Mus musculus: one gene and its partner. The protein of the gene in region 2 interacts with the protein of the main gene of each other region in a pairwise test. Links are inferred from orthologs where the notes say so. Each region holds a gene or a part of one and is shown on either strand. Other genes may lie near its edges. The genes, in order: Nkx3-1 and Spdef.

The links.
Region 1: the proteins of Spdef (region 2) and Nkx3-1 interact in a two-hybrid assay, tested with the Homo sapiens proteins (2 studies listed by BioGRID). The link is inferred for Mus musculus from reciprocal best matches to the Homo sapiens genes SPDEF and NKX3-1.

What each region holds. Positions count from the first base shown.
Region 1 is NC_000080.6:69,183,323-69,199,354, reverse strand, and holds Nkx3-1 (homeobox protein Nkx-3.1), read right to left. Parts: upstream 8,664-16,032; 5' UTR 8,651-8,663; coding exon 8,362-8,650; intron 7,532-8,361; coding exon 7,107-7,531; 3' UTR 4,697-7,106; downstream 1-4,696.
Region 2 is NC_000083.6:27,712,707-27,728,638, forward strand, and holds the end of Spdef (SAM pointed domain-containing Ets transcription factor), read right to left. Parts: 5' UTR 15,847-15,932; intron 13,925-15,846; exon of another isoform or gene 13,882-13,924; intron 7,691-13,881; 5' UTR 7,665-7,690; coding exon 7,259-7,664; intron 5,516-7,258; coding exon 5,318-5,515; intron 4,760-5,317; coding exon 4,712-4,759; intron 4,610-4,711; coding exon 4,463-4,609; intron 2,341-4,462; coding exon 2,162-2,340; 3' UTR 1,741-2,161; downstream 1-1,740. UniProt on the Homo sapiens protein: May function as an androgen-independent transactivator of the prostate-specific antigen (PSA) promoter. Binds to 5'-GGAT-3' DNA sequences. May play a role in the regulation of the prostate gland and/or prostate cancer development.

The DNA of each region.
Region 1 (16,032 bases), on a different chromosome or scaffold from region 2:
AAAAATCTGCTGTCTCTGAAAGTGTCTTCTTCTCTGATTCAAACCAGTTGTAGGGCTGATAAGATGGCTCAGAGGGTAGAGGAACTTGCTAACCAATCTGATGACCTGAGTTAGACCCCCCCCCCAAGACCCACATGGTAGAAGGGGTGAACCAACTCTTTCAAGTTGTCCTCTGACCCCACCTGTGTGCTATGTTGAGCACACCCCCTCCAAACAAATTAATGCAAAAAAAAAAAAAAGGACCCAGTAAAAGTCTGTCTGCTGATGTCTCCATTAAAATGAATATTCTCCCAACCTCACTTAACACACAGCAAAGAGGTGTAGACCATCTAACTAGCATTCTGGTGAAGCCAAGTACCCCGGCCACTCCTAGAGCCTATTCTCCATATCACCAGCATCTTTGCACATGCTATTCTTTGATATGTTGTAGGCAGCCTGTATATAGTCACCAACAAGCCCCTCGCATGGGGAGGAGACATTCTAAAATTTTCCATGAGCAAATACCAGTCACTACCCCCTCCCCTCCCCAGTTTCCTATTGTGAAAACAGTCTGCATTCTTCTCCATGAAAGTACTGGCTAGAGTGAACTCATTCTCAGACACTGTAAGGGTCAGATTGAAGCTTTTTCTAGCTTTGGGCTAGGGTTCCAATGCCCACAGTGCTTTTGCTGCATGCGCATTTTAGTGAAACTCTTATGGCTGCAGGGCATACTCTGTCTTCTCCTTAGATAACCTTCACACATCCATCTCAGCACACATGCTGTAAGAATTAAACGTTTAATATCACTGGTTTGGCAGAAAGCGGTGTAAGTGTTGTGTCAGTGATAAGACTCTGTCTAATCCTGGTAGAGGAGTTGCTAGAGAAGCATGACACGAAATGACAGATGTTACTTGGCACCTGCTGTCCCCAGTGAAGCACAAACAAGGTGTGTGGTTTCCAGCAGGTGGAAAGTCCTCTGACATGTTGGAAGTGGGATTGGACTTCTTGCTGTCAGTCCAGGGCCCAGGAGATGGAAGTGGATAAGGGCTTTGGCTTATTAGGCTAGCAAAGCACCGCATGTTTTGGGTCCTTCAGCTGTCAGTGAGTGCCTTTCTAGAATACTCAGGGGTTTCTTCTGGTTTCAGAGAGCTTTCTTGATGGTGTCAGAAATTCCCAAAGGGTGAATGCCAGGATGGAGGGCAAGAAAAGGTAGGTATCTGTGTTCTGTAAGAAGAATGAGCAAAGGGTCTGCCTGCCAGTAGCTCCATCTTGGCCTTGGACATCAGGCTGAGATGCTGAAGAGGCAAAACAGTCGTAAAAAGGCTAAAGACGTGGTTTGTAGCTATGGACACTGGCACTAAAAATGCAGACACTGGAGACTTGTTTTCCAGAGCTCACGCTACAGTAAGTGTTAATAGGAGTACCAAGCCTTTCTCCGCTGTTTAGTAGATGCTAAGGCCCATTGAACATGGGAAAACCAGAAAAGTGCACCTGGGGGATGTGGGCGTTCTTGCTGTTTTCGAGAAAATACACATGCTGAGAAATACACTACCTGTAAGAAAGTAAAATGGACATTCATTCTGCCATGCAACAAAATGGATTTCTAGGTTCTTAAAATTATAACTGCAGGCATCACTTTAGCCTTCTTTTCTTCTTCTGCTTCAGCAGAATACCTAAGGTTAGGCACTTTATAAAGGGGGGAGGGTTATTTGATCTCATGGTTTTGGAAGCCCCAAGGATATGAAGTCAGCCTTGGCTTCTTCTGAGGCATTCATTGCATGGCAAGAACATATATGAGTTGTCCCATGGAGAAATAGAAAGCAAGAGACAAGGGAGGGGCTAGGATCACTCCTTTTGGAAAACCCACTCTCTTGGGAACTAATCTACTCCCGTGAGACCTGACCTTCACTTACAAGACAGTAATAATGTATGAGTGTTGACCTCTTATGACCTAATTACTTAATTGGACCTAACCTCTTTTGTAAAAAAAAAAAAAAGCTGTCATATTTAGTTGTGTGTGCGCGTGTGTGCCTGTGCATGTGCATATGCCAGAATTTATGCATATGTGGAGGTCAGAAAACAATTTTCAGAAGTTGCTTCTCTCTTTCTGCCATGTGGGTCCCAGGGATCCAGCTTGGGTCATTAGACTTGATAGTAAGCACCTTGACCTGCTCATCCATCTATTGGCTCTGAACCCCACCTCTTAATGGATTGGTCCCTTCAAACCTGAAAGACCAGGAGCTAAGCTTTCTCAAACACAAGCTTGTGTGGGGCATACCATATCCAAACCCTAGCGTGTGTCTTATAGTTGTTCAATGAGAAGATGAGACTACTGTCCATGCCTTTCCTCTTTATTCATCAGCTCCCAGGAAGGGTCCTCCCATTATTGAATTCAATAGAAACATGGAGAGACCCATCAGATAAAGGAGTCTATCCTAGAAATTGATTGGCTGGATTTTAAACTCTGTATATTCAGCTTCATCTCTCACTCAGCACAAGCTCAGGACACAAGTGAAGAATCTACCTGGAGTCTCTGCACAGGGGAGGGGAGGCACTGTGGGAATGGGGGCTCCTTCCGTCTCCTTTGTAGACTTTGGATCAGCCTTTTCAAGGGCTACTTTGTCTGGGAAAGTCTGCAGAGGAGCCAAATGTGTGGCTAAACTAGGAGTCGTTTGTGTCCCAGGACTCTCTTGTTTATGCCCTTTCTCTTGCACAGTAAATTACTCTTGGCATTGAGAAAACATGCTTTGGTGACATGTTCCTGATGGCCATGGGCGGACCAGAGTCTGGATGTCTGAGTGTAGAGGCTATCGCTCCAAGCCCAGCAGGATCTACCTGACACTGAGTTCACTAGTGTGAAGAGTGTCAGAGACGGTGGTGGCCCTGAGTGACCAGCAAAAGTGGATTCCATGGTGTACAACAACGTCTTCCCAGATGGAGCCAATGTACTCTTGACCGGCTGCTGAGGAGACTGCCAATCCATATGTGACCAATGTGACAATGATTGGTCACAGTGTCCCTCATTGGTTCCTTGCTGTATTCACAAAGAAACTGCATTGTTCGAGGTTCCTCCCCACTTCAGGATGCAGCTGATGCTGAGGTCAAATGTCCCATCCTACTCTTTTCAAAAAGAGACACCGTGGCTTTAGAGCTTCGACTCAGAGTTTTTCTCCTCAGCCCTGCCAGCCTTGCTTTCTTCCTGGTACATCTGCCAAGACCCTCAGGGTCTCCACGAACAATTCTCCATCACAGGGCTTGTTTCCAGGCCACCCAAGCTAGGGGACCTCCCTATAGATGCTTTTTATCCCAAGTTTGCTTCACTGTTCATGGCATTAGTATCATCCCAAGAAAAAGGGATTTGATGTGTGTAGTTAAGAAGAAAATAAATCTTGTTGGCGTCTGACACATATTCAACTTTTTGGCCACAAAAGGCTTCTAAGGGATGCCTAGGAGCCTGTGGATGAGAAATTTCCACAGGAAGTAGACCAAAAGGCAGGTTGACAATGTATTTCAAGTAGCATGACTATGTGGCATGCCAAAGGAACTAACTTCTGGAGAGAAGGCTGTGAGATTATCAGATATTAGGAAATGTTGGAAACAGGACAAAAAAAAAAAGGCAAAGGGGATTTTCTTTAAAGATAGGAGACTTTTGTTTAATTTCCTGGATTACTTTTAAATGGTTTACTTTTTCAAAAAGGACATCTGTTAATTTGCAGCAAGAGGCTTTGTAATTGGAGAGCTAATACCCTTCCCTGGGACAGGAGGGTGGCTGTAGATTTGTGCAAATTAAACCTCATGCTTCTTGCCTGCTACAAGAAGCCCCACCTGTGTGTGCGATGTACTTAAAAGATTAGGGCACACTTTGAAATTATGGTATGGATTGCCTGAAGTAGGCACCTTCCCCTTTAAGCTTTTATTTCCTTGAAGGAGGGGCAGAGACCACCAGCTCTCACAGGCCATCAGACCCAGGAGGCACTTACTTTGTGTGGTTTTAGGAAGGCTTAAATGCTGGGGATGAGGTGTGCAGTTTATGTGTATTAGTTCTGTAATACGACTTATCCTCAACACTTGTGGTCCCATTTCAGATGAGCTTGGGCACGTTCAGGGTGGGTGGGCAGGCTGTAGACTAGCGATCCCATGTCAGGGACATCGCTTACATGAAGCTAATGGGACTCTGGACACAGGTGACACGTTTAGGAGTGAGGGAGCCAGGGATTATAAGAAAAGGGACGTTTTGAAAACTGCTGTGATCATCCTGTTCCCTCAGGGTCACTACATACGTGAACAGTCTTCAGTTACACGCGAGGTATTCCAACACGGGTGCAGGTGATGAGTTATAACTTTGAGACAGGCTCTCATGCTGTCAGGTTGGTCTGAAACTCACTGTGTAGCCAAAGAATATGGCTTTGAACTTCTCATCCTCCTGCCTCCGCCTTCTGAGTGCTGGGATGACAGGGACAGCAACACCACTGCTGTGGGTGGAAGTTTAATACAGGCAGACCTGTTTTTTTCCCTCTCCTTGATTTACCAGAATGGCAGGAGAGGTCACTGCGAAAAGAAACCCTCTTGGCTACTTGCTGAATTGTTGCTTTGATTGATTTGTGTCTGTAACTTGTCAGGCCAGCCAAGTGTCCTGTGGGAACATGGCCACCGTGAAAAATGCAAGCTAAAAAGAAAACCCATTTGCAAGAATCTGAAAACCACACGCAGGTGTCTAATAAAGACATAGAGGCTTTATTTTAAAACACTCATAGGTTGCAAAAAAAAAAAAAACCCGTAGAAAAATAAAGTTTTGAGTGGAGTACTATACTAAATGCCAAGTGACAGACTTTTCTGTTAGAGCCGGGGTTTGCTAACTGATTGACGAAACAGGACAGAGATATGTCACCCAGGTGATACCCACAGCGATACCTTTCCCATTCACAGGCTGGAGACAACAGGCCACGTTTCTACCAGTTCAGGTGTGGGTGAATGGGTAGTTCCAGTATGGAGAAAGCAAAATTGAGTCAGACTTCCCCAACATAATTTTAAACACAAGCCTTTCCCTTTCTGACTTTGCCACACACTGCACACTATAATAGTTCAAACGTAGTGAAAGTGCACGCTGAAAAAGATTCTAGTCAGAGTGAGAGGAGAGAAAGTACTGATAGGGAACTCAGAGCCAAAAGACGGATAGAAAGAAGAGAACTGGACTCCTCCGGCTTTGGTATGGTCTAACGCTACCACAGTGGTCAGCAACAAGGGACACGGAACAATACTTTAACATGGGGACCCGGGCTGTCAAAGAACAGGGTGCAAGCCGCCAGCTTTCTATCAACTTCCTTTGGCAGTTTTGCCACCAACAGTAAATTGGCCCATTTAAAAGGAGGAAATTAAAAGATTTCTCACTGTATAGCACTGAGTGGTGGGATAAAGGGATTTCCTGGCCCCAGAAAGTCTCATTTGTTATAAGTGTGCTCTACCTCCTTTATCTCCCATTCGGCAGGTTACCTGAGATATCAGGATGGAAAAGGGAAGGTCAACCAATTCTCTTTTTCACTCCTACCACTTTAGGGTAGTTCCTAAGCATAGTTCTCCAAAGCATTTGCGCGTGCATGCGCGCGCGCACACACACACACACACATCTGTGGATGGAAGCCTCGGTGAGGTTGTATTTTGAAGACAGTTTACCTCTCCTTGCTGGTTAGCTTGGGCTGACAGCAGGACCCCTCCATCTCCCCCAGATCCCTCAGCAGTGCCAGCCCTTCCTTTTGTCCTGTTCTTCCTTACACATGAAAAACAAGCACCCCTAAACCACCTCTGCCTACAGGGATCCCCAGGACCCCAATGGGCATCAGCCTTTGAACTGTAACACAGAGCTAGCACACAGCCCTGCGAAAGAACCTGTCATCTTCAGCTCTCATGTCTTTAAATAGGGCTTGGGATTTAATGCTGAGTATTTTTAAAGGAAAGAGAGAGAGGAGTTGCTAGGTTTTTTTTCTCTCTCTAAAGTATGTCATATTTTTAAAGGGAAGAGATGAGTTGCTCATTTTTTTCTTTTAAAAGTATGTCATAATCTGTCTGTAGCTAGTTAAGTTGTTAAACCAAGAAAGGTAAACCTTGGGAGGAGGTGGGAGCAAATCTTACACGAAATAAGACAGGCACAGATGAAAAGCATGAACGGAGAGGTCCTGTAGGAAAGAACAAGAAATAAAAAGGAGGGTTGGAAGGTCCTTTGTTTAAAACTAATGGCACCTCTGTCATCACAAAGTGTGAATTTTCAGGCCAGGGAAGCTGCAGGCCCTCCTGAGTCTAAGCAGGAAGGGCAGGAGAGTCCTTTTCTTCCCTGCTAATATAAAGTCCTGATGGAAGCCGCTCACCTGGCGTGTGGAAACCCCATAGGCCCATGTCTTGGAGAGGAAGTCTGTTTTGCAGCCCACCCCTGCAGGCAAACTGTTTACACAGCTTGTCTTAACCCCCTCCGCGTGTGTACCCTGCCACACTCAGGCTGCCCTGTAAATCCTTGGACTGGCACATCACTGTGAAAAGGGTAAGTTGAAAATTCCACCTTCCACCCCCTTCACGTTCTATGCCAACCTGCCTCAATCACTAAGGGTCACCCCCTCCCACCCCCATTCTTCAAATCTTCCGTTTACCCTCATTTTTACAAGGGCAGAGAGAAACTCTGGCCAGAGTCCAAGGCCAACAGGAGACCCAAGTTTAACTCAAGAGGAAATCCTCATCTAAGGGGCCATCCCTCCCCTTGCTTGGCCCTTCCATGATACTCAGTCATGGGAGAGGATGGAGTTGCCACAACAGAATTCCTAGGAACGATATAGCCATTGCATCTGTAGCCATTCTAAGTTCTGGAAACAAGACTCAAACTTGCCTGGCTCTCTCTAAACAGGGGAGCGGGCAGCAGTCACCTACAGGACACTTGGAACTGGGACTACATCTTCAAATAGTCACTGCCCCAGATCTTTCACCTGCCCACCAGAGAAGAATTGGAGTGTTCCCTGGGAACCCCCAACAGTTTGCATCTGTACATTTCTTGCTTCCGACTCCTTGACATCAGCCACTGTGGCTTTTTCCCAGAGACCCCCAGGGAAGACAGTTTCTGATATATGCAGTTATCAGCAGAACTGTTGCTACCAGAAAGATGGATGCCAGCTGCCCAGACAGTACAGGTAGGGGTAGTAGGGATAGCTAGTATACACGGAGACCAAGGAGGTACTGGGCAGGCTGTCATCTTTCAGGGCTGGCAAAGACAATGGTGAGTTCTTCTCCAAGACTCCCAGGTCTTCCGACAGCTGCTTTCGCTTGGTCTTATAGCGTCTGTTCTGGAACCATATTTTGACTTGGGTTTCGGTGAGTTTGAGGTTCTTGGCCAGGTGAGCCCTCTCAGGGGCAGACAGGTACTTCTGATGGCTGAACTTCCTCTCCAACTCAATCACCTGAGTGTGAGAGAAGGCGGCCCGGGAGCGCTTCTGTGGCTGCTTGGTGACCTGGGGGGCACTTGCTAAGTCCCCTGGATTATGTTCACAGTCCAAAAGATAAGTCTCAAAATGTGCATCTGGAGAAGAACAGAAGGAGAGAGGAAAAGTTACATGTTAGCTCAGAATTCAAACCACCTTTTTGTTTTCTGCTAGTGAACAAAAAGCCCACTGTCATCTGGATACTTTCACTTTGTTTGCAAGACTAAGAAACTACCCTGAAGAAGTGAGCAGGCTTTTTTTATACTATGTATTTGTTTCTAATAATCAGTGTGAACTACATTCAGGTCTTAGCGGTTTACAGTTGATCTTTCTGCCTTGTTGTTTTACATCAGTGAAATGTGGATCCTGGATGTGTGTTGCAAAGAGAGGTGGGTAAGGTGCCAACAGGGAAGACGGAGGCATCGTAGGGACATTGAAGTGGGTGACTGAGATTTGTGGAGATGAGCCAGGTGGCCTGGGATGGTAACCAGTTCATCTCCTGCCCTAGTCCTCTTCCTGTAACTGTGGCTTAGTCACCAGCATGAAAAGTGGTTGGGGCCGGAGGATAAAATTGGACGCGATTCTATTTCTAAAGACTTAAAAGAACATCCATAATTTTATGGCTCGTGGAATGGAGACGAAGGGAACTTAAGAGTGGGCTTGATTTATGAATATTAATGGTTATCGTTAGTTCTAGTAGCCAGTGGTAAATGTCTGCAGCCGCTGGAAAAGAGTCAAGTCGATGGCAAAGTTATTAGTTGCTCTCAGGGTTGATGCTCAAGGTGGCTCGGTGGGGCGGACAGCGAGGTCCTTTCTGTGGCCATGCCCCCACCCCCAACCTCAGGATTCCTGCATCCAGAGCTCGGGGCCATTAGCCCAAGAGCGGTCCTTTCCTGTGCATGGTGCTCGCTTGGTCTACTCCGCTTACCAGACTCGGGTTCAGTCGGTGTCTCCGCGGGGCTATGCCGGATACTTGGTGGGTCCTCCGGAGCCACGCCGCGACCCCCTGCTTTGTCGGGCTCTGGAGCGGAGTCCCTCCTAGGGTCCGGCGAGTGCTGCGGATTGCCTGAGTGTCCCCCGTGCCGCTCCGCGCGGTCCCGCAGGATGTCCTGGATGAGGAAGGAGGTGAGCCGCTTGGACTGCGTGGGTGGCGCTGCCCAAGGACTGCGGCCACCCGCCTCCACCCGTGGCTCTCGGGGCTCCGCTACCCTAAGCATCCCTCCTCCGCTGCGCGCCGCTTTTGCTATCACCGGGCCGCGCGCACTTATAGCCATGCTGAGCGCCGCGCCGCCTGCCCATTGGCCGCGGGGACACGGCTGCTCCCCGATTGGCTGCCGCGGGCTCCAGGTGACCCTCAAGGGGCGAGTCCTGGGCGGATTAGGCTCCAGAGCCCTTCCCTGATGAGCCCTTAACCTTTCCTGGTTTCCCTCTCAAGCCCTTTGCCAGAGAAGCCACAAACGCCAAATTCTTACTGGAATCAGAACTGAGCAGGCAGGTCGCTTCCACCTACCCTAATTGTGTTCAGATAGTAAGAGAGACTGATAACAAAGCCAGATCTACCGAGTCTAAGTTGATCCTAGGTCTGACAATCATGCTCATTATGGTCCCACGCTGGACTCCCAGCTGGACACATCTAGACAACCAGCAGAAGTCTATTAGGGAAGGTCCAAGTAGTATGACAGTGTCTCGTTTACTGAGTTGACCAGGTAGTGTAACACCAGGAAAGAGTATTCTTAAGAAATAAACACTCGCTGGGCAGTGGTGGCGCATGCCTTTAATCCCAGCACTTGGGAGGCAGAGGCAGGTGGATTTCTGAGTCAGCCTGGTCTACAGAGTGAGTTCCAGGACAGCCAGGGCTACACAGAGAAACCCTGTTGAAAGAACGAAAGAAAGAGAGAGAGAGAGAGAGAGAGAGAGAGAGAGAGAGAGAGAGAGAGAGAGAGAGAAGGAAAGAAAGAAAGAAAAGATAAATAAACACTCAAGCTGTGTGTGGGTGACATTTCTTTAATCCCAGTGAAGAGGGGCAGAAGTAGGTGGATTTCTGTGAGTTTGAGGCCAGCCTGGTCTATATAGGGATTTCTTGGACAGCCAGGTCTACATAATGAGGCCCGGTCTTAAACTAACTAACTAACTAACTAACTAACTAACTAACAACTAAACAACTGACAGCACACATGCACAAACCAAACTAATAAAAGAAATGAACACTCTAGCCCAGGCTCCCCATGTCTGTCACTTAAATATCACATGGTTCAGAACAATGCTTTGGATTGCTAAATACGATCTATCTGATCAAAGGAATGTGCTAGAATACAACATTTGGTGGAAACCGAGGAAAGCCTACGCTGATTTTTTTTTTTTAATTAATGGATGCAATTAGAGTCTGTTGTGGTCTAAGGCACCAGGACTCAACTGGAATCTGCTCTGCAGGGAACCTTGTATTTCTGGGGAGAAAGAAAGGGGGGCAGGCCCTTGAGAATACAGCAACTTCGGAGGGAAACTGGGATGGATAACCGGAAGGCCTTCAGAAAAGCTCTCTTCTGCATGTTACCTGGACTTATTTTCCTTTAAAATTTAAATATACATTTTTGATATAGTTACAGGTTCATTGGGAATTGCAAAAATAGCAACTCCAATGTCCCTCATTGTAGTATGTATGTATGTATGTATGTATGTATGTATGTATGCATATAGTGTGTGTGGGGAGTCTTCCTCCAAGGCCCACACATAAATGCCGTTCCCTGCTGAGGTAGTTTGGAGAAGTTTTGGACCTATAAGGGCTGAAGCCTAATGAGAGGTCCTCAAATTGTTGAGGACATAGAGATTGTAGCGCCCCAATTTTCCCCCCTCTCCTGGCCCTGGTGTATGGATTTTCCCACCAGCCTGTGCTCCTCTCATGTTGCACTGCACCCCCCATTAGGCCCCCTAATTTTGGACTTGAAGCTCTAGACTCATAAACTAAAGCAAACATCATTTTACTTAACCAGTCTGTGGCTGGTTCTTGGTGGGAATAACAGATTTAATGCAAGTCTCCTTTCTCTACCCAGTGGTGCAGTGGCTATGCCAGACCACGGGTGATGGGTAGTTCCTTTGGATAACTAACTTGGTCAGAGGATTAGTGAGGCTTACCTGTGGGTGTGCCTGTGAGTGTTTCCAGAGAAGGTTCACTGGGGCAGGCGGGGGCAGGCATCTGCCTTAAATGGGTAGTTTCATTTCAAGGGGGAGAAAGCAAACTGAGTACTGGTGTATCCCCATGTTTCTTGGCTGACTGAAACGACTGACTGAGACGTGACTATACGACTGACTGAGACGTGACTATACAGTCCTGTGCTCCTCTCAAGATGGCAGACTATACCCTCAAACCACCGGCCAAGGTAAACCCTTCCTTCCCTAAATTAATTCTGTTGGATATTTGGTCACAATGGTCAGGAATTAAAAAAAAAAGATAGCTGAGACAAGAGATGCAGAGTGACAGGCCTAGCCGCTCTTCTGTGTGACTGTACTGCTGTTTCCACAGGCAACGAGTGTCAGATATCTGAAACCTTATTAGCCCTGGCCATTCTCTTTATTTCAGCCACTAACATTGGTACAGTGCTATTTCAGTTTGGCTTTAGTTTTTTGAGTTTGCACTTGACTGTTAATGATGTTGATTTTGGCCGGGCACAGGTCTTCATTGATGAGACAGTCCTAGTCTCAAAATAAATCCCAGAGGGCTCAAAGATGTAGATGCAAACAGGCACACAGGAGAATTTCTTTTTAAAAAAAAATCAGGCTCGTGAAAGAAATGCAAATCAAGGGGCTTGAGGGATAGCTCAGTGGAACTAGAGCTCAATTCCCAGGATCAAGCATTACAACTGCCTGAAGTACCAGCCTCAGGGCATCTGATGCCTGACCTCTGACCTCTGCAGGCACAGATATGCAAACACACACATATTTTTAAAAGTAAATAGCATTTTTTAAAAAGAGAAGAAATGCAAATCAAAGCCACATTGAGATACTCCTTTTTTTAAATGTATTTATTTTTTATTAGATACTTTCTTTACTTAACATTTCAAATATTATCCCTTTTCTAGTTTCCCCTCCGAAAATTCCCTATCCCTCCTCCCCCTTTCCCCCTGCTCCTCAACTTACCACTCCTGCTTCCTGGCCCTGGCATTCCCCCACACTGGGGCAGAGAACCTTGGATAGTCATTTCTATGCATCAGATTGGGAAAGATTTTCTTAAGGTGCCATCCAAACAGTGAGTAACTGCTGTGGGCGGAAAATAGGCCGATTTACATATTTGGTCGGTATCTGTTTACATTAAAAATGGACATATCCTTCAACCCAGCTAGTTTGGCTTCTGCCCTGGAAACTCATAAATATACAATGTACTGACTTGGGAACCTGGTTTTGGTCACAGACTGGTTCCAGTTGCAAACTGAGCTGTAGAATCAACTGCGCGTGTAAAAGGGTGACCACAAGTGGTCCGTATCATTTGCACGCAGACATGCACATATATGTATTCAGTAGGACAGTGGTGTCTGCTCAGTGAGGTGGAGGCAGGCTGAGAGAAGGGAAGGAGGGGAGGCTAACAGGATCTATTTGTTTGCATTCATGTGTGGTTCTTAAAAATTATAAATCTAGGGTAGGAGAGATGGCTAAGTGGTCAAGAGTGTTCGCACTGCCAGGCATAGTCATGGACAAGATTCTAGCTAATAGGAATTGGCCAGCCCGGGGGGTGGGGGTGGGGGTGGGGGTGCATTCCTCCACTGGAGAGCTCTAAGATGTTAAACTATTATAAAACAAAAAATTCTCTTTAGTAAGATGGCTAAGTAGATAAAGGTATTTGTTGCCCAAGCCTGCTGACCTAGGTTGGGTCCTTGGAATCTACATAAAAGTGGAAGGGAAGAATTGCCTCCACAGAATTGCCCTCTGACCTCCACACACGCATGCTGAGTGCCACGCGCCATCACGGCTGATGACATCACTTTCTCGGTGTCTGCCTCCCTCCCTGTTACAATACCTCTCAAGAGGACTTTCTAGATTTGGTCTCCTGTGCATACATCATGGTGGGGTGTTTTCTGTGGAGATCCTTTGCCAGTCCAGAGACTAGATAAGACAAAGAAGGGAGTGGGGGTCCCGGGAGAGAGGACGAGTCACAGGAAGCACTTGCTATCTGTACCAAAGAGGATCCAGGCTGCCACTGCTGCCTGAGAGATGCCCCGCCCCCACCCTCCGCACTCAGCCACTTCTTTTCTCCTCCTTCTCTGTTCTTCATAAGAGTTTCACCGTGCTGTCTTCTTTTCTCTTTTTGTATCCCTACTTCAGACCTTTGTTCTAGTCCCCAGTCCCCACTGAGAGAGGATGTGCTGCGATGTTTCTGTCAGCAGAGACACCCCCCCCTCCGCTGCCCCATCTTCCTCAGCATCAAAACAAAACTCCAGGCACAGTGTCAGGCCCTTGACTTTCACAGCCTGGGATGGGGCAGAGAACATGTTCTCTGGTTTCTTGGGTGCTCAGCAATATGGCGTTGAGACTTGTCCCTTTGCTCTTTGGGGGAGGGGGTTGACCTGGAATACTAAGTTTTGGGGTCTGTGTCTACTACGTTCTTGTGTATATTCTATTACATCAGCAGGCAAAGCCCAAGACCCCAAGATTAAGGCGCTGCACCTGCTCTGACTTCTTGCTTATTCATAACAAGGCAGACAGTACAATAGAGATGTAAGGAGGGAAAGAGGGAGGGATAGAAGCTGCAGCCAAGCTTATCCAATCAGGAACCCATTTTCCCACCAATCATATTAGCCCATCCCTGAGGGGCTTCTAGAACCTTCAAAATCTTCTAAGATTCCCAATTATTCCTATCGTTACCACGGCAATGACCTTTCAACATGAGGACTTAAGGGGGCATCTAAACCATGGTATCTTGAGAGGACAGAGATACCACCCTGGCCCTTTACAGCACGCTGCCGGTCTCAGGATCCTGGACCCTGTCAGACTGTAGATTTCTCCTCAGCCAGCCTAGGTGGGCATTACAAGTCTTCACATCTTGCAAGGTCCCAAGCAGTACCTGGTGCTGCAGCAGGGCACCCGCACCTCTAAGGGGTGGGTGCTAAGATCCCTGAACAGCCTGCAGGGGGGACTCTGTCTATAAGGAGTAGTGAGGTGAGATCCCTGAGCAGGTCTGTGAGGGAGCGAGGGTGTGATGTGATTGGGGTGGTGGCTATAGTAACCCCAGATCTCCAGACATGTCTTGAAACTCCACATGTCCCTCATGCCTGAAGCTCTAGCTTCACCCAGAAAGCAGCCAGGCTTCCTATCCCACACCTGCTCCAAGGCTCCTCTCCCTCTATCCCAAGGCTCTGTGAACCTCCGAGCATCGGGTACTGGGACTGTTCCCACCAGCTTTCCCCTGGGCCTCTCTGTATGGCCCTGGGGATCAGGCTTTGGAGAACCTTGGTGGGTAGCCTTATGATTCGCCTCATCTTGTTCACACTTAGCACCCAAGAATAGCCACGGAGATTCATTTAGCAGTGGGAGCTCAGTAGTATTTTGCTATTAATACAATAGTGCCCCGGTGACCAACCACCCTTTCTCCCCCTCCACAGCTGCTGGGCCTGTGTCTGCAGAAGTGTCCCTATCCTCTGACTGGGTGGCCGGACATGATCTGTTGAACAGCTTAGCAGAGACCCTCACCTGGGAGACACATTGGGGATGTTTGTCTAGAGGAGGGGCCTCTGACCTTCTCCCTGCTCTGGCTAGCCCTGGCAATTCGATACCACCCCTCTGCCACTGTCTTGTTCTGAGAATCTCCAATGACGCTGAGGAGGTTGTGAGAGCCTTGCTTACCCTACAGTGATGGTAATGATCATCAGAGGGCAGGTGGCCAACTAAGAAGGTGGCAGAGGGGGTTCTTAGAGATGGCACCGGGAAATGGGACGATGACACGACACTGCTTGGTTCAGCAGAAAGTTCTATCTGCTTTGAACTAGACCAGACCTACGGAATCTGTGGGGCTGTCCCAAAATAAAACTATTTCATCTTAGTACTGAGTCATCCAATAGATATCTCCCCAGATTCTATTTTGAATAACACAGCCTTGGTTCATAAGACAGGTGTGGAAACTGCCAGCCATGAGCCGGTATTGTGACTGAGTGGAGGCCTGACATTCCCAGTGATGATGGTGAGACCGGCTGGGCTGGGCTGGGCTGGTGTTTGGACAGCTTGGAAGGGAAGTGGCCACCCATGTTGGGGTTGGATAGAAGGGCAGATCCTCAGGACCACCCTGTAGCAGTGTCCAGGTCCTGTAATGTCTTAGGACAGAGGACACCTTGCATTCTGGTCATGTGTTTATCCAGGGCCCGTTTCCCCATGGGAAGCTGGAGAGAGGATTGAGTCAGAGAGCAAGCTGAGAGGCAGGGTATAAACAGGAAGTGTGCCATAGTCCCACTTACACACACACACACACACACACACACACACACACACACACACACACGAGAGAGAGAGAGACAGAGAGAGAGACAGAGAGAGAGACAGAGAGAGAGACAGAGAGAGACAGAGACAGAGAAAGACTTAGATATGAGCCTTAAGGCATCATATTGGAAGTAGGGAAACTGAGGTCTCAAGAGACTTTCCTGAAATCGCATACCAGTGACAAAGTCAGAACTTTGGCCACCAGTGCACAGGCTAGTTTTCTTTCTTTCTTTTAAAACACTCTTTTGTTTTGTTGTTTGTTTTTAGTTTTTGTTTTTCTCTTTGCTGAGTTTTCATTTTGTTTTGTTTTGTTTTGTTTTGTTTTGTTTTGTTTTGTTTTTGAGACAGTATCGCATAAACCCAGCTTGTCTTTGAATTTGCTCTGTAGCTGACTGTGACTGATCCTTGTCTCTGCTTCCAGAGTGCTGGGTTACAGGCAAGAACCATCACACCTACCTTAAATGCTCTCCAAAGGGAGGGAGGGAAAAGAGGAGGGGTAGCAAGTAGGACAGAAAAGGCAAAGATTGTTGCTATTATTTAATTCCTTTTTACTTTTCTAAGGGAGAGATAAGTAAACTTTTGGGCTGGATAGATGGTGCAGTGGTTAAGAATGCTTGCCTTTCTTCCAGAGGACCTGAGTTCAGTTCCCAGGCAACAATGTGCAGCTCCTAACTGCCTGAAACTCCAGCTGCAAGGGATCTGGCCTCAGAGGACAGACAGACAGACAGGCACACACACACACACACACACACACACACACACACACACACAAAGAAGTAAAATGTTGCTATCTCAGCTAAAGTATTCTTGACAGAATTTAATATTTTTAAGTGTCTATGAGTGTGTGTGTGTGTGTGTAACAGAGAGAGACAGACAGAGGGACAGAGAGACAGATAGAGGGTACAGAGAGACAGACAGAGAGAAAGACAGAGAGGTTGCACACATACCGTGGCATGTGTGTGGAGATCAGAGAGAACTCTTCAAACCTAAGATTGAAGTCAGGTCATCCTGTTTGAGAGGGAGGGAACCTATGTTCTCCACTGGTGCCTTGTGGGTGTGGTTTAAAATGTTCTCCTACGTGTGGGAAGGCTGGTGTCCAGCGTGGCAGTGGCAGGGAGAGGTTGGTAGGTTGTTGAGAGGTGGC
Region 2 (15,932 bases):
AGGAGAGGTTTTGGTAGGGATATGTCAACAGAGAGGAGAAAGCATGGTTTGATGCCAGCTTGAAAGCTGTCACTGGGTGGATGTAGCCTTTGGAATGTTCCTCGGTGGAAGCTGCCCTTCTGGTCCCCCACACCTCCCCTCTGTGGAGCTGTTTTTTCTCCCCAACCTAAGAATGCAATCCCCTTTCCCTTGTGAGAATTCCCCAGCCCTGCCTGAACTCTGAGCCTGGCCCAGGCACAGCTGGGACATCCAAGTGGGTGACTTAAGGGATTCCCAAGGGACAGGATGGGCTGGCTGGAAACAAAACCAGTTTAACAGAGCTGAGCCTGCCTCTGGCCAGGGTCCCAGACTGCCTCTTGCCTGGGTATAGGAGACAGCTGGGGCCTAGCAAGACAGCGGCCTGGGTAGAGCCCCCACCCCATCCCAGTCCAATCCCAGATGACAGATGCCAAGGCACTGTTTGCTAGTTGTCAGGAGTAAACATTCTTCAGGAAACAATAAAAAGTGCTGGGGGCAGAAGGTAGGAGTGCAGGGTGCCTTTAACCCTTTCTGGTCCAGACAGGTGTGGCAGCACTCTGGGGGCAGAGGCAGGCAGATCTCTGAGTTCCAGGCCAGCTCTGTCTACTGAGTGAGTTCTAGAACAGTCAGTGCTACACAGAGAAACCCTATCTCAAATAAAACAAAAACAAAACAAAACAAAACAACAAAAGCAATAACACACACACACCCCCCGGGGTGTTCTAGATGGTGCTGGCTCCCTGTCCTTTCTCAGAGAAGTCTGGCCTCAGAACGTATGAGCTGTGGGGCAAGAGATGCTGAACCATTTGGGAAGGAAAGGTAGGGCGAATCCTGTCCCTGGGGCAGGATGGGTGAGTTCCTGGTCTTGCCATCCATAGGGGTTTGACTGTGAGCTAAGTGCTCAGCCATTCTGGACCTCTGAGGTAACACATGCTGAACAGGGAGGTGGCCTGGACTTCATGATTTTGTTGAGGGCAACGACAAAGGGCAGAGGGCTGGCCATAGCACGTCCTCAGGATGCTTGATTAGGGTAAATAAACCCGGGAAGTGTGGCGCAGCTGTGTTGGGCTGGAGAATGGGCAAGCTGTCTGGGAGCTCCACACCCAGGCTCGTTCTGCTCCTCACACTCCAGCGGCTTTCTTGCCCAGGTGAGGGACTCACAAGTCTATGAATAGACCTTGTGAAGTCTTGGGGGTTGGGGAGAGGGAGGCAGAAGCTGTAAATCCTTAGAGCCTTACAACGCCACTGTCCCAAAGGCTATGAATCACCGACTATCTCCCACAATCCACTATGTGGTTCAGCTTTCTTAGATAGCTAAGCAAATCCTCTTGCAGGAGAGCCAGACCCCTGGCATACCTGGGCACACCTGGGCACACATGCCAGCAAGTGCTGTCCTCTCGCAGAGCAGACAGAGAGGCTGCCTTCCTTACTTTGGGTCTGTGTATGGACGCTCGCTCTTCAGCCTGGCCCACCTCCTATGTCAGCCATGGCTGGTGAGGAGGATGAAGCATCTATCTAGACTATCCACTTTGTCCTGGAGAACCCTCTGCCTCTTCCATGACATCTACCAGACAGCTCCTGTTTCCTCTCAGGCTTGGCTCCATGTCACTTGCCTGGGTAGGCTTCCCTGTGGTCACCACCCTAAGCACTTGGAACCCCAGCCACCCTTGACTGCTGCTGGCCTCCAGTCTGTGCCATGCATAGCCAGACACTGGAGGACCTAACAGTTATCTTACGTCTTTATTATCCATCCCCAGGGCACCCCTGGCTTCCCAACGCAGGGTACAGACATCTCTTAGCACCATGCCAGATATGGTACAGGATTGTGGCAGGAGCAGAGACCAGTGACATCACTGTCCGGTGAGCTGACTTGGTCCAGTCCCTGTGTGCTGTAGGTGGTTCCCCCAGGAATTCCACAGTCCAAGCCCGGTTCCGTTTGTGAACAATCCTAGCTCCCTCGATCTTCCTGGGGCCTGTGTATGACCCAGAGAGCTCATGTGTATCCCTAGATCAGTGGCTGTCTATCTGGGACCTTGGGTTCTGGGATACCAGCAGCCCCTGAATTCAGAGTGAGCAGAGAGGACCAGGCCAACCAGAGAGTGGCTGCCTGGGGCAGGTTGTAGGCCTCTGGTCTCTGTGGCTCTCAGACTGGATGCACAAATTGGTAGACAAGGCGCTGAGAGATGTCGGGTTTACGAATGATGCCCTTCTTGTAATACTGGCGGATGGAGCGGCTTAGTTTATCATAGTTCATGGCTGGCCGGTTCTTGCGCACACCCCACAGTCGGGCCACCTGTGCTGAGTCCTCAATTTTGAAGATGCCTGGGGAGGGGGGAAGGAAGGAGGGAGGGTGGGAGGAGAAGAAGAGAGAGGAGATCAACAGATTGGTTTGGGGGAAAGCAAAGTGACAGATGCTGGAGCAGGCAAGGGACTTAACAAACCTCTCTCTCTCTCTCTCTCTCTCTCTCTCTCTCTCTCTCTTCTTTCTCTCTCTCTCTCTCGTCTTTCTCTCTCTTTCTTTCTCTCTCATCTTTCTCTCTCCCCCTCTCTCTGTTTCTCTCTCTTTCTTCCTCTCTTTTTCTCTCTTTGTCTTTCTCTCTCGTCTTTCTTCCTCTCTCTCTCTGTCTTTCTCTCTCTTTCATCTTTCTCATCTTTCTCTCTCCCCCCTCTCTCTTTCTCTCTTTTTCTTTTTCTCTTTCTTTCTTTCTTTTTTTCTTTCTCTCTCTCTCTTTCTTTCTTTCTTTCTTTCTTTTTTCTTTCAAGACACAGTCTCTCGACATAACCTTGACTGTTCTGGAGTGCTGGGATTAAAGGCATGTGCCATCATGACACCTGATGTTAGCAAATATATTTGATTTAATTTTTCCTTTTTTTTTTTTTTCCTGGACAGGGTTTCTCTGTATAGCCCTTGCGGTCCTGGAACTCACTCTGTAAACCAGGCTGGTCTCGAACTCAGAAATTCGCCTGCCTCTGCCTCCCAAGTGGTGGGATTAAAGGCGTGAGCCACCACACCCAGCTAATTTTTACTTTTCTTACTGGTTGAAATTATAACTTGTGTACAGTCTTATATCAAAGGCAGGTTGTGCATCTCTAATCTGAAATTTTGGATCAGAACTGTGTCAGAGTTTGGAGTTTTAGGATTTGGGAATATTTGACAAGCTTTTCTGGGCCAGACATCTACAATGGTATTCTGAAGAGTTTGTATTGGGGATCGTTTGAGAAATTGGGATTAAGGTCAGGCAACCTACATCATTAAAGTGAAATCCAGTTGTTTTTAAACATTTTTGACTCCAGACCTAGAATGTTTAATCTTATAATTAGGGCTCACATATTTGTACTTCTGATGGACATGGGATTCTTTAGGTTGGAGCTCTTGTTAATTTTTTATTCTCTTTTACTTTATTCGTGGTTATGTGAATGCATGTCAGCAGATAGGTCCTGGGTGTGCATGCATGTGGAGAGCGGAGGGCAATTTGCAAGACTCGTTTCCTTTCCATCCTCCAGGAATCAACGTCAGTTCTTCATGCCTGCCTGTCTGTCCTCATAGAGCTGTCTCACTGGCCCTCAAGACACGATGTTTTCAGGGGTTTTTAAAGATGTATTTTATTATCTCATGGGTATGAGTGTTTTGTTTGCATGTCTGTAAGTGTTTGCCTGGTGCTTGCCAGGTCAAAAGATCTCTGCTGCTGGAGTCAGAGGAAGTCCTAGCAGCCACGTGGTGCTGGGAACTGAATCTTGGTCCTCTGCAAGACCAAAAATACCCTAACAACCGAGACATCTCTCCAGTCCTGTTTTTTGTTTGTTTGTTTGTTTTTGACAAGGTCTCTTTGTGTAGACTGGGGTGAGTGGCATAAAATTCACCGCCAGCCTCTGCCTCCCCAGCGCTGACCTTAAAGCCACTATGCCCTGCTTGAAGCGGAGTGTTTTCCCACTCTCAGCTAATAACCTTAAATCAGTGCTATGTTCCAGTACTGTGTGGGGCCGATGGAGTCTCACTACCAGGGCAGAGTCTGGCGCAGAGGCTGAGGAGGACACAAACAGTATCCTAAACCTCAAAAACCTTGGTGCTGAAGGAGTGTGGATCTCTTGAGTGGCACAGTTGGCACAGGGTGAAGGTGAAGTCGATCTAGGCCACACCCCTACCCTGTGCCCCCTTCCGGGTGGCGCCACTTTCCTACCCAGCCTCAGTTGTAGGTCCACCCATGCCCCCTACTCCAGCACTGCTCATGCTCCTAGCTGGATTTCTGCCCTACAGAAACCCTCCTTCGTTGCGTTTCACATGGAAACCACGCCTCCGAGTAGCCCCTCCCCTCTCGGCACTCAGAGCCCCGCCCCTACGGCCCCGAGGCCCTACCTTCTCTCTCTCTCTAATCCCTCCTAACAAAGGTCAAGTCTCCTGCCAACCCCTCCCCGCCCTGGAGAACGGAGCCCCAGCCGATTCTACCTTTCTCCTTGTTGAGCCAGCGGATGAAGCGGCCATAGCTGTGGGGCTTGAGCAGCAGTTCTTTCAGGAACTGCCACAGGTGAATGGGCTGCCCGGAGCACGACGAGTCCACCTCACCATCCGTCCAGCCCTCCTCGCTGGTGGAGGCTGGAAGCCAGAGCGGGCAGGATGTATGGCACCTGCGACTACGCACTTCTCAGGGTAGCCTCCCTCAGCCCCTCCAGGCCTTCCTGCGCTGGCCCTACTCACCGCAGTAGTGAAGGGTCCCAGGCGAGGTCCTCTCCTTCATCCAGGCCGCTGTGGAACAAAATGGGGAGGTTGGCGACCCAGCAGAGGTCCCCACCCACAGCTGTGGGGCAGACCGCTCCTCACTGTGAAATGGGCAAGGGAGCCTTGAATCTGTGGCCTGGCAGTCTCATCAGGTCTCCAACTGCCCACTGCTTCCGCCCACCCCTAGGCCATCAGCCAGGGACAGAGTCCTTCTGCTCACGTCATAACCACTGGCACGGGAGACTGACCACTCAGAGAGTCACCTGAGTGCATCTGTCTCCCATTCATCTCAGACCTCTAAGGGAAAGGGCCTCGACCCAATGAGCAAGCACAGAATCCTCCAAAATTCCAAAGAGGAAAAAAACAAGCAAAACAAAAGAAAAACCCCAAGCCATCACCAGCATCAACAGCCAAAGACAGCAACAGTGCTGTCGTGTGAAGCACAGGGGGGCCAGGACTCAGGGTCAGAAGGCAGGACAATCTGGGAGAGTCCCTTCTCTCCTCCCATGCTGCTCCACATGGGGGGAGGGGAGAGGCAGACTGACTGATGCAAATTCAAGGCTAGCCCAGTTTACCGTGTCTCACCTGACTTCCAGATGTCCAGGTGGGCATGCAGTACATCCCCACCCAAGGGTGCACGCTGACGGAACTGTTCCTCGGACATGGCGCACAGCTCCTTACCGCCCAGCTCCTGGAAGGCCTTGCCTGCTGGAGGCAGCCGGTACTGGTGTTCTGTCCATAAAAGCCACTTCTGCACGTTACCAGGGCTCCAGTCCCCAGGGTCTGGACAAGAGATACACACTAGTTCAAGGCTGCTGGTGGGCACTGCCCCAAAGGTGGCCGTCTGTGGGATGGGACACCCATGAGGTTTTGTTGCCTGGGGCCATGCACTCCTCAGGGTGGGAATGTCTAAAGCCTTGAGAAGCCCATGAAGGCACACTCCACCAAAAAGGAAGTGAGAGGGAAAGACCCTAAACCAAGCTTGTTGCCTTGGTAACCCATCACATCTCCATGTCTCTCCTGCCCCCTAATGGGCCTTTCCGGAGATCCCAGCTCTAAGGAGAACAGTTACACTCAGCCAGAAACATAAATGCTTTTTTTGCTGGACACTTTTGCTTTCCACAGACTTCTCGAGGAGAAAACCCACCCAGGAACCGCTCTGCCCTGGAATTTTAGAGAGGAAGAGACCGGAGCACACAGGAGGGGGTCCAATCCTTGCCCAGTGCTTAGGAAATAGCTAGATTCTTAGCAGCTGCCCCAGCGGTTATTGGGTCAGCTAAAGCTGGAGGAGGAAGTCACCAGTGATGTGGGCCCCTGGGAAAAAGCTCTCAGGGGAGCCTAGCAGGGCACAAGGCTAGAACCAGCCTGGGTCACAGTGGCAGTGTGGCCGCCAGGTGAAGTCTGGTTCCAGCCAGTGTCCCAGCTTAGTGACCTGCAAGCTACACTGCTCCCACATCTCGAGGCCATTTTCTTTCTTCCCGAGGTCAATTCAATTTGTTTCTGTCCCCATTGTTCAGAGAGCACACCCGCCTCACCCTGGAGCTGGAGGAAGCGCCTCTTCCTCATGGGAGAGCCTTCTGGAGTGTGGGAAAGTAGAGGAGAGATGTGGGTAGGAGCTGCCTTGAATGGGGACACCACCTGGGAACATCTAGCAGACTGGGTGGGGGGGCTTCCTCACAGGGAACTATAGGATGGAGGCCAGGACTTCCTGGCCCACAGTAATTTCACCTGCACCTCTGACCCCATGATACACCCCCCCCCCAGATCAGGCACGAATGTACATGGATACACACACACACACACATCTATTCCTTGGTGTCCCTTCCTCATCAGTTGACCACATCAGAGGGCCACATTCAGCTGCTTCTTTATGATCCAGTTGTCCCAGCTCCACACACAGAGCCTGTGTCCTGTTCATTGCTTTCTCTCCCAGTCCCTGTGCAGGGAGGGCGCCAAGCAGGTGAAGTCAGTCAGTGGCCATTTATTGAGCATCTATTATGTCCAGTGCCATCTAGGTAGGAAGTGAGGTAGGAAGAAACCAAGTCCCAGACCTCCAGATAGCAATCATACCACAAGAACAAGAAAAAGGGGGAGGCGAGAGGTGAGCCGTGGGAGCCAATCTCAGCAGCTGATCAGAGGTCTCACAGACAGGTTGCCAACTCAGACCAGAGAATGCCAGGGAAAGGCGAAATAGGTATCTATGTGTGGGAAAGCATCCTAGATTGCAGGACTAGCAGGCGCTATGGGAAAAGCAGGGAGACCACGTGGTTAGGATAGAGTGAGTGACAGAAGAGGGGAGCTGAGTCCCAGAGAAGGTGGGGAGCCAGATGGGAGCAGACACTGAGTGCCCTTTATCCACTAAGAGAGGGCCCCGGGGCAGGCGTGGTTAGGCATGGCCTCTGACTCCAGCTGTTGTGTGTCCTGGGCTATCCAAGGCGATCAGAGTCCATCTAGCAGATCTCCACCCTGCCTGTATCCCTGGGCGGGCAGAGGCCCCCGGGGCGGAGGCGGCAGGGACGGTCTCACCTGCTGTGATGTTCAGAAGCTTGCAGGCCGTCTCAATATCTTTCAGGACCTCGCCCACAACCATCGATTGCACCTGCTCTAGCGAGTGCTCATCCAACGTGCTCCCAGAGGCCTGGCTGTCAATGACGGGACACTGCTCGGGCTCCTCCGGGTGGTCCTCCCCGGCACGGGCCTCGGGGACTTTGGCGACCCAGCTGCTATCGTCGGGATACATGTTAAAGTAAGAGAGGTAGAAAGCAGACAGGCCCTGCTCAGGGGTGGCGGGTGGACTAGGACTCCATTCCTGCTTCTCAGGGCCCATTGCTCCTGATGCTGCCTTCTCCGTCCCTGTTCGTGGTGCCACATCTGGGAACAGTAGCAGGCAACCGGGGGACACGTTGCTCAGGCCTGGGCTGGCACTGCCCATGCTGCGGTGGAGGCTTGGGGCTGCTTCTGCAGAAATCAGAGAAGGAAAATAGGTCTGATGGCTGTCCCGGCTCTGTGGGGGACCACTAAGCTGGTTATAGGACTCGGGACTCAGCAGGCAATGGGTTGGAGAGAGGCCAGGGGGCTTCCGGGTCACTGGGCAGTGAATGTGGCCCTGACTGGAAAAGACAATGAGGTGGACGTGTGGGCAGGTGGGAGGCACACATTTCCTTTATAAGTCTTATGTGGGTAGCACTGGCTGGCCTGAACGATCTGGTCCTCCTGCCTCTTGCATTTCCCATCTCCAGTTACCCTGTAGGACCCACCGTGTAGCTGGCTTTTGGCACCTGGGTGGGTGTGGCAAAGGAAAAAGGCCCAGTCTGGAAAAACCCTTGTGTCTTTTCAAGGGCCACAGCTAACCTGTTGGAAAATGCCCTACAATCCAGGAAACAGCTTCCTGTTCTCTTGGACTAGCAAGACTTGATAGAGTTGAGGTGAATTTTGGCTGTCCCCACCCACTGCTTGCTCAGTCCCCACCCCCTCCTTGATCAGTGCGCGCACGCACACACATACACACACACACACACACACACACACACACACACACACACACTTGCTCAGCACCCACCTCCTCTTGCTTAGTGCCCAGTTTTTCCCACCCTTCAGCGCTGCCCAGCAGGCCCCACAGGAGAGAGAAAGCCAAATGTGTTGCCTCTAGGTCCAGCCTTTCCTTTCAAAGAACTCTAAGCGACAAGGAAGAATAGGTTTGGGTGGGTGGGGTGGACAGGGGTCGGGGTTGGGTCTGGATTGATTCAAGTCCTTTTGTGCAAATATGTGTGTGTGTGTGTGTGTGTGTGTGCACGCGCACGCACACTCCACGGGACCTTGGTATTTACCAAGGCAGCTTCCATAGCCTGTTCTGTCCCCACCCTGGCCTATGCCCACACCCTATACCCCAGGTGGTGGCCCCACCCAAGGAGAGTCTTCCCCCAGTTTCCATCCCTCCTCCTCCACCTCACAATGGCCTCCTGCCCCGTCCACATCCCCAATGGCCCCATGCCTGCCACGTTAGGACAGTCTCTGCCAGCTCCCTGGGCCCCATGCCCAGCCTCTAGCTTTTCCAAGAGGCAGGAGGACTTGATTCTCTGTGGCCTTATGTTTGCCTGGCCTTAGTCACAGGTGGGAGGGGAGACGGGTGCTGGGGTCCAGGCAATGTTGCAAGAGGGGCCATCTGGGCCAGTGCTGGCCCAGGTACTATGTAATACTTCATCCCTACCGCATTTGCTGAGTAGGCTTCACAGCCCTGGTATCCATGCGCTCCCTAGGGAAGGCATCCCAAACTTTCTTCTTACCCCTATTTTACCAATGGGGCAGTCAAAACGTAAAGAAGTCTTCTGGACCCTTCCCCTGCAGAAACACCTGTCCCCCTTCCCAGCTCCCCCTTGCTCTGCTTCCCAGTGCCCAGAGCTCCCTTGACTGAATAACTATGCAGCAGACACAAAGGCTGCTCCCTGGGACCTGGTGGCTGGACTGGGGATGGGGGGCTGGCTGCACCTCTGGTCTCTCACAGCAGCAGCTGGACTAGGGCAGGAGAAGAGGGTGTCACAGAGAGTGCAGACTCTGTCATGCCAGGATGCCCACACATACACTGTGCCAGATGGTCATGTCGAGCTGACACAAGCTGAAGTCACTGAGAGGAGGAATCTTCAAGTGAGAAAATGCCTGTAGCCTGAAGAGGTTTTCTGTTTCCTTTTGGTTTTTTGTTTTGGTATTTCAAGACAGGGTTTCTCGGGGCTGGTGAGATGGCTCAGCAGTTAAGAGCACAGGCTGTTCTTCCAGTGGTCATGAGTTCAATTCTCAGCCACCACATGGTGGCTCGCAACCATCTATAGGGGGATATATGATGCCCTCTTCAGTCGGGCGGATGCATATGCAGCAGAGCACTCATACATTAAATAAATAAAGTTTAAAAAAAAAAAAAGAAAAGAAAAGAAAAAGGATTTCGCTGTATAAAGTCCTGACTGTCTTGGAACTCTCTTCGTAGACCAGGTTGACCTCGAACTCAGAGATCTGTCTGCTTCTGCCTCCTGAGTGCTGGGACTAAAGGCATCACCACCACATCTGGTTGAGTATTTTCTGAACTAGTGATTAATAGGGGAGGGCCCAGCTGATTGTGGGTGGTGCCACCCCTGGGCTGGTAGTCTTGGGTTCTGTAAGAATGCAGGCTGAGCAAGCCATGAGGAGCAAGCTGGTAAGCCCCACCCTTCCATGGCCTCTACATCAGCTCCTGCCTCTAGGTTCCTGCCCTGTTTGAGTTCCTGTCCTGACTTTTTTGATGAACAGCTAGGTGGAAGTGGAAGCCAATAAACACTTCTCTCCAGGTTGCTTTGGTCATGGTGTTTCCTCATAGCAGTAGTAACTCTAGCTAGGACAGCTACCCACAGCCTGAGCTACGTGAACTCGAGTGTCTCATCTCAGAGATGCAGATGGCCAGGCTCAGGAGACTGTAACCTGGCTGTGTGTAGACTCTGTTCCTTGGACCGCCATCTTGTTAAGGCACCTGCTCTGGCCACTTTTCTCCTTTTAGGTGTCTAGCCCACCTCATGACTGGGTCCCTTCATCTTCCAAGGTTCATCTTCTGCTTCTGGCTGCTCACTCCAAGCACTACCACGTTTGTCTCCTCTCATCAACTTTTTACCCGACTCCTCTGCTCAAGAACCTGGCACGCATGGCTCCCACTGCCTGCCTTGTCCGTGGGCTGGGATGTGGCTCAGTTGGTAGTGTTCGCTCAGTGTGCACACACACAGAGCCCTGGGTTTCATCCTCGGTCTTGCATAGGAGCTATGCGGTGATTAGTGGTAGGGTTTGAACCAGGACTACCAGTCAGCATGGTCTCCTCATATCCAGGTTTTGATAAAGCTGGGATCTCTTGCCTTGTTCCTTGCAGGGAGGCATAATCACAGCTTTCTCCCTTGTGTTATTGTCCTCTTTCCCAAGATGCCTTTCTTCCTCATCCCAGGTTCCCTAAGCCCCACCCCAAAGATCCCTTCTGCTGTCTCCCTTTCTGATGACCCACCGGTGACTGGCAGCTTAGTCTGACTACATCCTCAAAAAGCCATCAGCCAGGGGTCTCCGAGGACGTGGGTAAGGCTGAAGCTCAGGGCGTGGCTGAGAAGGACCCAGAGACACACCGAAGAGCCAGGACCTAGCCAGAGATCTCCTGACATTGAAGTCACTACTCTGTAGTGAGCCTAAGGTCTTCAAGGACCTCATGTGTTGGCCACAGGCCACCATCCCTGTCCCTCTCAACTGCCCAATGGCTGCAGTCTCCCGAGTGATGCCTGCGGTCTCCAAACTTCGAGCTGATCTCAGGGGTAAAGCCACATGTCTGGATTAAGTCTCAGTGGGGTCTGTCTTGCTCTTGCCCCAGCAGCCCTGGTTACCTCTCCAGACAAAAGGCTTGGTAACAGCTGGTGCAGGGCAAGCCAGGGGGCAGAGCCACATCAGAGAGTTAGTGGATAGGGCTTCATAGCTTGGAGTCAATCTCTCAGTCCCTTCTGTCCCCCAGGGAGGTAAGTGAGTAGAGAGCACAGAGGGACCAATGGTGGAGACTGGGTACAGCTGTTTCTTGATACTCTGTTCCCTCCAGGGTCACCTTTGTCTCCTGTGTCCTTTGTTTACAGCCAGCACTTCATCCTCAGCGAGTGAAGTTGCCCATGAGGCACTCATGAAATGTCTGGCAGCCGTGTGTTGTGAGCCCCGTCCTCTGTATCCTATTGGGTTCCTTCTTCCAGACCCCAACTTCCTAGGGATAGTGGGGTAGCATATAAAATGCCTTAGCTCCTGTCCCCAATCTTGAGGCCCAATATCAGTGGCCCAGAGTCCAGGGTCCAGCTTCAGACCCAGTGGAAGTAGCACTAAAGGACATCAAGTATGGAAGGGTGACAGAATCAGCTCCTGTAACCCCCACCCCCTGCCAGTCTCTAGTGGCCTTGGCCACTGGCTACTCCTAAGCCCTCCCAACCTCTGCATCCCTTAAATAGGCTAGAGACAGAATATGGGGCAAGGCTAGACCTGGTGAAGAGCCCTGCAAGAATGGGTATGTCCTTTCCACCTGCACCCCAATACCCACCAGCTGGTCAGCACCTTGGAGAGAGCCAGGCCAGTCTAGGTTCTAGGGAGCCCCAAGGTTACAGCTTCCTCGCCATCTCTTCAGGCCCCGCCTTCCTGGGATCCAGTAGCCTCACCCCTCACATCAGTCTTCAGGAGAACTAGACTCAGGCCTCCTCACTGCCGGCCATTCAGTGCTCAGAGTCCCAGCCTCACTTCACAACCAACCACCTACTCCCCCCAGTGTAGCCTGTGGCTGGCTTGGGCTACGCGGGACTTTGTCTTTTTAAAACAAATGAGAGAGAAGTGGGTGAGTGGAGAGACACAGCTGAGGGTCTCCAATTGTCCCCAGAATTTGTATCCACAGGTTCTGAAAGGCTCCCCTCTGATGGCAGTTACTGCCAGCAAACCCCCAGCCTGGGTGAGCCTGGGGCTTAACGAGAATCTATAGCCACCCTATCAATTTTGCCTGGCTTTCAGAACTTTCCAGAAGCTGCAGTTTACATATTCACTTGGTCTCCTGTGTGTGAGGCCCCGCCTCCCCGGGAAGCCCCTTTACTCAGGGAATTCTTGGGGTCTATGTGGCCACACTCCCGGTCTAGCAGACACACCTTCCACATCTGACCGCAGGCTCAGGATTCAATGGCCTCTCACTGTCCAGGGAGCCTAGGACAGGAGGAATGAGGAGGCAGGGACTCAAGACCCATTCCAAGACAGGAAGTGCCCTTAGAGATGTGCACTCATGCGGGGCCGGGAGGCGGGCCTCTTGCTGCCCGTGAGAAGAGACCCCCCCCATCCTGACCTCTGTCACAGCCACATCCTGAACCCCAGCTAGGAAGTTCCTTTGCGACATCTCAGCCTTGGGTGGGAGGCTAGGGGTGCCTCCAATTTGGAAGAGCCCGGGGCAGGGGAGGGTGTCTCATTGGTTTTTTGTTTTGTGCTGGGAGAGCATTGTCCCAGGGCCCCTGCTGCTGGTGATGTCACTGGCTGGCCAGGAGTGATCAGAATGAACGGTGGGAGAGCTCTAGCGGGTGGTTGGAGCCCAAGAGCTTTAAATGTCAGCAAGGGCCCAGGGCTATGGTGCCAGGATTTGCTCTGAGAAGAGCTGTTCTACCTGCTCAGCTGCCTGTGGGGGCTCTGGGGCAGGCGAGGGGAACGTCCCAGGCCAGAGCTAAGCCCCGCCTCCTGGTCGCAGCTCAAGGTTTCTTCTGGGACAGTTTGTGCTGTTTGTTAAACTGTGGTGGGTGGCCTGGCTCAAAGGGCCTGGAGTACTGAGCGGAGACATCAGCTCCCAGAGTAGTGGCGGAGCGTGCTTGAATGTGCACCGGGAACCCGTGAAGGGGGAAACTGGAGAGAGAAGAGGAAAGGAGAGGAGGGAAGGATGAGGGGGGAAAGGCAGTGGTTCTGACCAAGTGAAAGAGGTTTGAGGGGGGACGCTAGGCTCCCTGCCCCTCCCCCATCCTATCCAGGTCTATCCTGGTTACTGGCCTCCTCCACAGCTCCATACTTTCTGTTGGAAGCCAGAGGCAGGGATTCCTGCTCAGTGTGTGCCCTCACAAGCCTAGGAAACAAGCTGTTACATCCAACCAGCATTCAACCAACTCCTCCACAATGTCTCATCCCCGCGTGTCCCCGTTGTGATGCCTCCCTCGACTGAGGAGACAATCTCTGCTAACCTTCTCATTCAACAGACCAGGAGCTACAAATTCACCCCATCTTGCTCTGTAGGCCCAGCTCGGGTCTTCTGGCCAGCTGAAACTGACCCTTTCTGAGTTCTGCCCAGGCCACAGTAAGCCAGTCAGCATAGATTCGCCTGTGTCTGTTTCCTGCCGGGCCTATCGCTTAGAAGCCACTGGACATCCATAGGGTGTAGCCCCTTTGTTTCAGGTCAGGGTGACAGGGAAGTCCCACCTGACTCACAAGGTCCTTTGGAGCATAGGTGACAGGTAAAACTTGCATGAACAGAGTGTTCATCTCTGGGCATGCAACATACCTGGACAACTCACAGCCTGGCTCCCAGACCCATCCCTGCCCTTCCTCAGCCTCCCAGCCCTGTACGCTGGGACGGAATGGGGTACTCCTCCTGAGGCAGAAGAAGCTCAGCTTACCAGAACTGTCCACACGTTGGGCAGTACCTGCATGCTGTGCCCTCTACCTGAGGGGAGGGGGGTGAGGGGGGAGATCCCTGGGGCCTGTTTACCTTGTTACTCAGGGGAACAGCTGGTATGGAGTGCTGCACCTTTATTGGGGGTTGTCTGGAAGCTGTTTGCTTGGGGATGGGGGTGGGGACAGGAAATGAGCTGAGTCTGTCTCGGCCAGGGAGAAGGGGTCAGCTATGGAGGGCTGTGCCTGTATCGGGGCTTCTGGATCCTTCTGGGAGTAGAGGCAGGGAGGTCTGCCCCTGCCCCCCCATAGCTCAGGCAGCCTCGGGGGCACCCACCCTATCGTCCCTCCCCACTCCCCTTGCATCTTTCCTCACTACAGGAATCTGACAAGCCTTGGAAATGAGAGCCTTGGTGGCCAGTGCCTTTGCTCAGCAGGTGAAGGCAGTTGTCACCAAGCCTGAGCCTGCGCTCAGTGCCCAGGACCTTCATGAGAGAAAGCAAGGAACAGCAACTGGGCATGTTCAGGGGGCAGAGGCAGGTGGGTCTCCGAAGGACTCCAGGCAACAAGCTGTCCTCTAACCTCTACGTAAACAGCCCTAGCCCTGCACACACACTCTCAATGCAGATTTTGTTGTTGTTGTTTTGTTTTGTTCTTTTTTGTTTTTTTCGAGACAGGGTTTCTCTGTAGCCCTGGCTGTCCTGGAACTCACTTTGTAGACCAGGCTGGCCTCGAACTCAGAAATCTCCCTGCCTCTGCCTCCCAAGTGCTGGGATTAAAGGCATGCGCCACCACACCCTGCTTGATGCAGATTTTAAAGACCCAAATAAGCAGAAATGGTCCCTTCTGGGTGAGGGATAATGTGAATTTAAGACCAGCATGGACCATGAGACTAAGTGCTGGGCCTCAAACACCTCAGAGACACACAACCTGTCTCAAAGGCCAGCCACTATGGCATATACCTTTAATCCCAGCAACCAAGACAGAGTCAGGCAGATCTGTGAGCTGGAGACTAGCCTGGTTTACATAATGAGCTAGAGGCCAGTCTGGTCTACATAGTGAATAAGACCATCCTCTGAATAAACACCCCCCCCAAAATAAAATAAAAATAGACAAAAGAAGAGAACTGAGTGCCTCATGACACCACCCCATACATATGCACACACATATATACATACACACATATATACACACATATACACAAGAACACATGTACACACACATACACACATATACACATACAAACACACACATACACACATACATACACATACATACATTCACACACATTCACACACATACACATTCATGCATACACACACATACACACATTCACACACATACACACATTCACACACACACATACACACACACATTCACACACACATGGTTTTCTTTGTGTGTCCAGACAAAAGATATGGCCCCTCTTGCTTATCCAGTGCCTATGTTTACTCTGTGGTGCCCCCCCTCCAGACTGCTAGTCTGTGCTACCCTGCTCTGCCACTTTCCTGGGCTCTCCACCTGTCTCTCTTGCTTTTGTCCATGTCGTGAGCCTCTGTCTGTCCATGGAGGCCAAGCCAGAAGACACTTGCTCCTTCCCTCTGGCAGAGCAGCCCAGGTGGCAGTGGCCTGTGGTCTGCCTGGGTTTCACCTTCAGGGCAGAGCTGACCCGGCCCCAGGGGAGCTAGCTAGACATCCACATGGCTATTTTCCCCTCAACCTGTGTAGGAGGGGCTCTGTGCCAGGCCCATGGACATGGGGCCCCCAGAAAGAAGGGGTGTCCCATAGGCTCTGGATCTGACCCAACAAGGGATCTGGCAGCATATGGAAAGAACAGGACTCAAGTGTCAGAGTTCCTGGTGTCGGGAACACAAGCTTGCAAAGCACGTCTCCACTCTGTGTCAGCCACCAGCCTCCCACAGGTGACAGGGAACCCCACGGAAGGGCGTGCTGGCTCCTACCACACTCACCCGTTAGCCGCCTGCTGTCAGAAGAGTCGTCCGTCCTCGGCAGAGCCAACCTCAGGGACCAGGAGGAGGCAGTGGGCAGGCAGCTC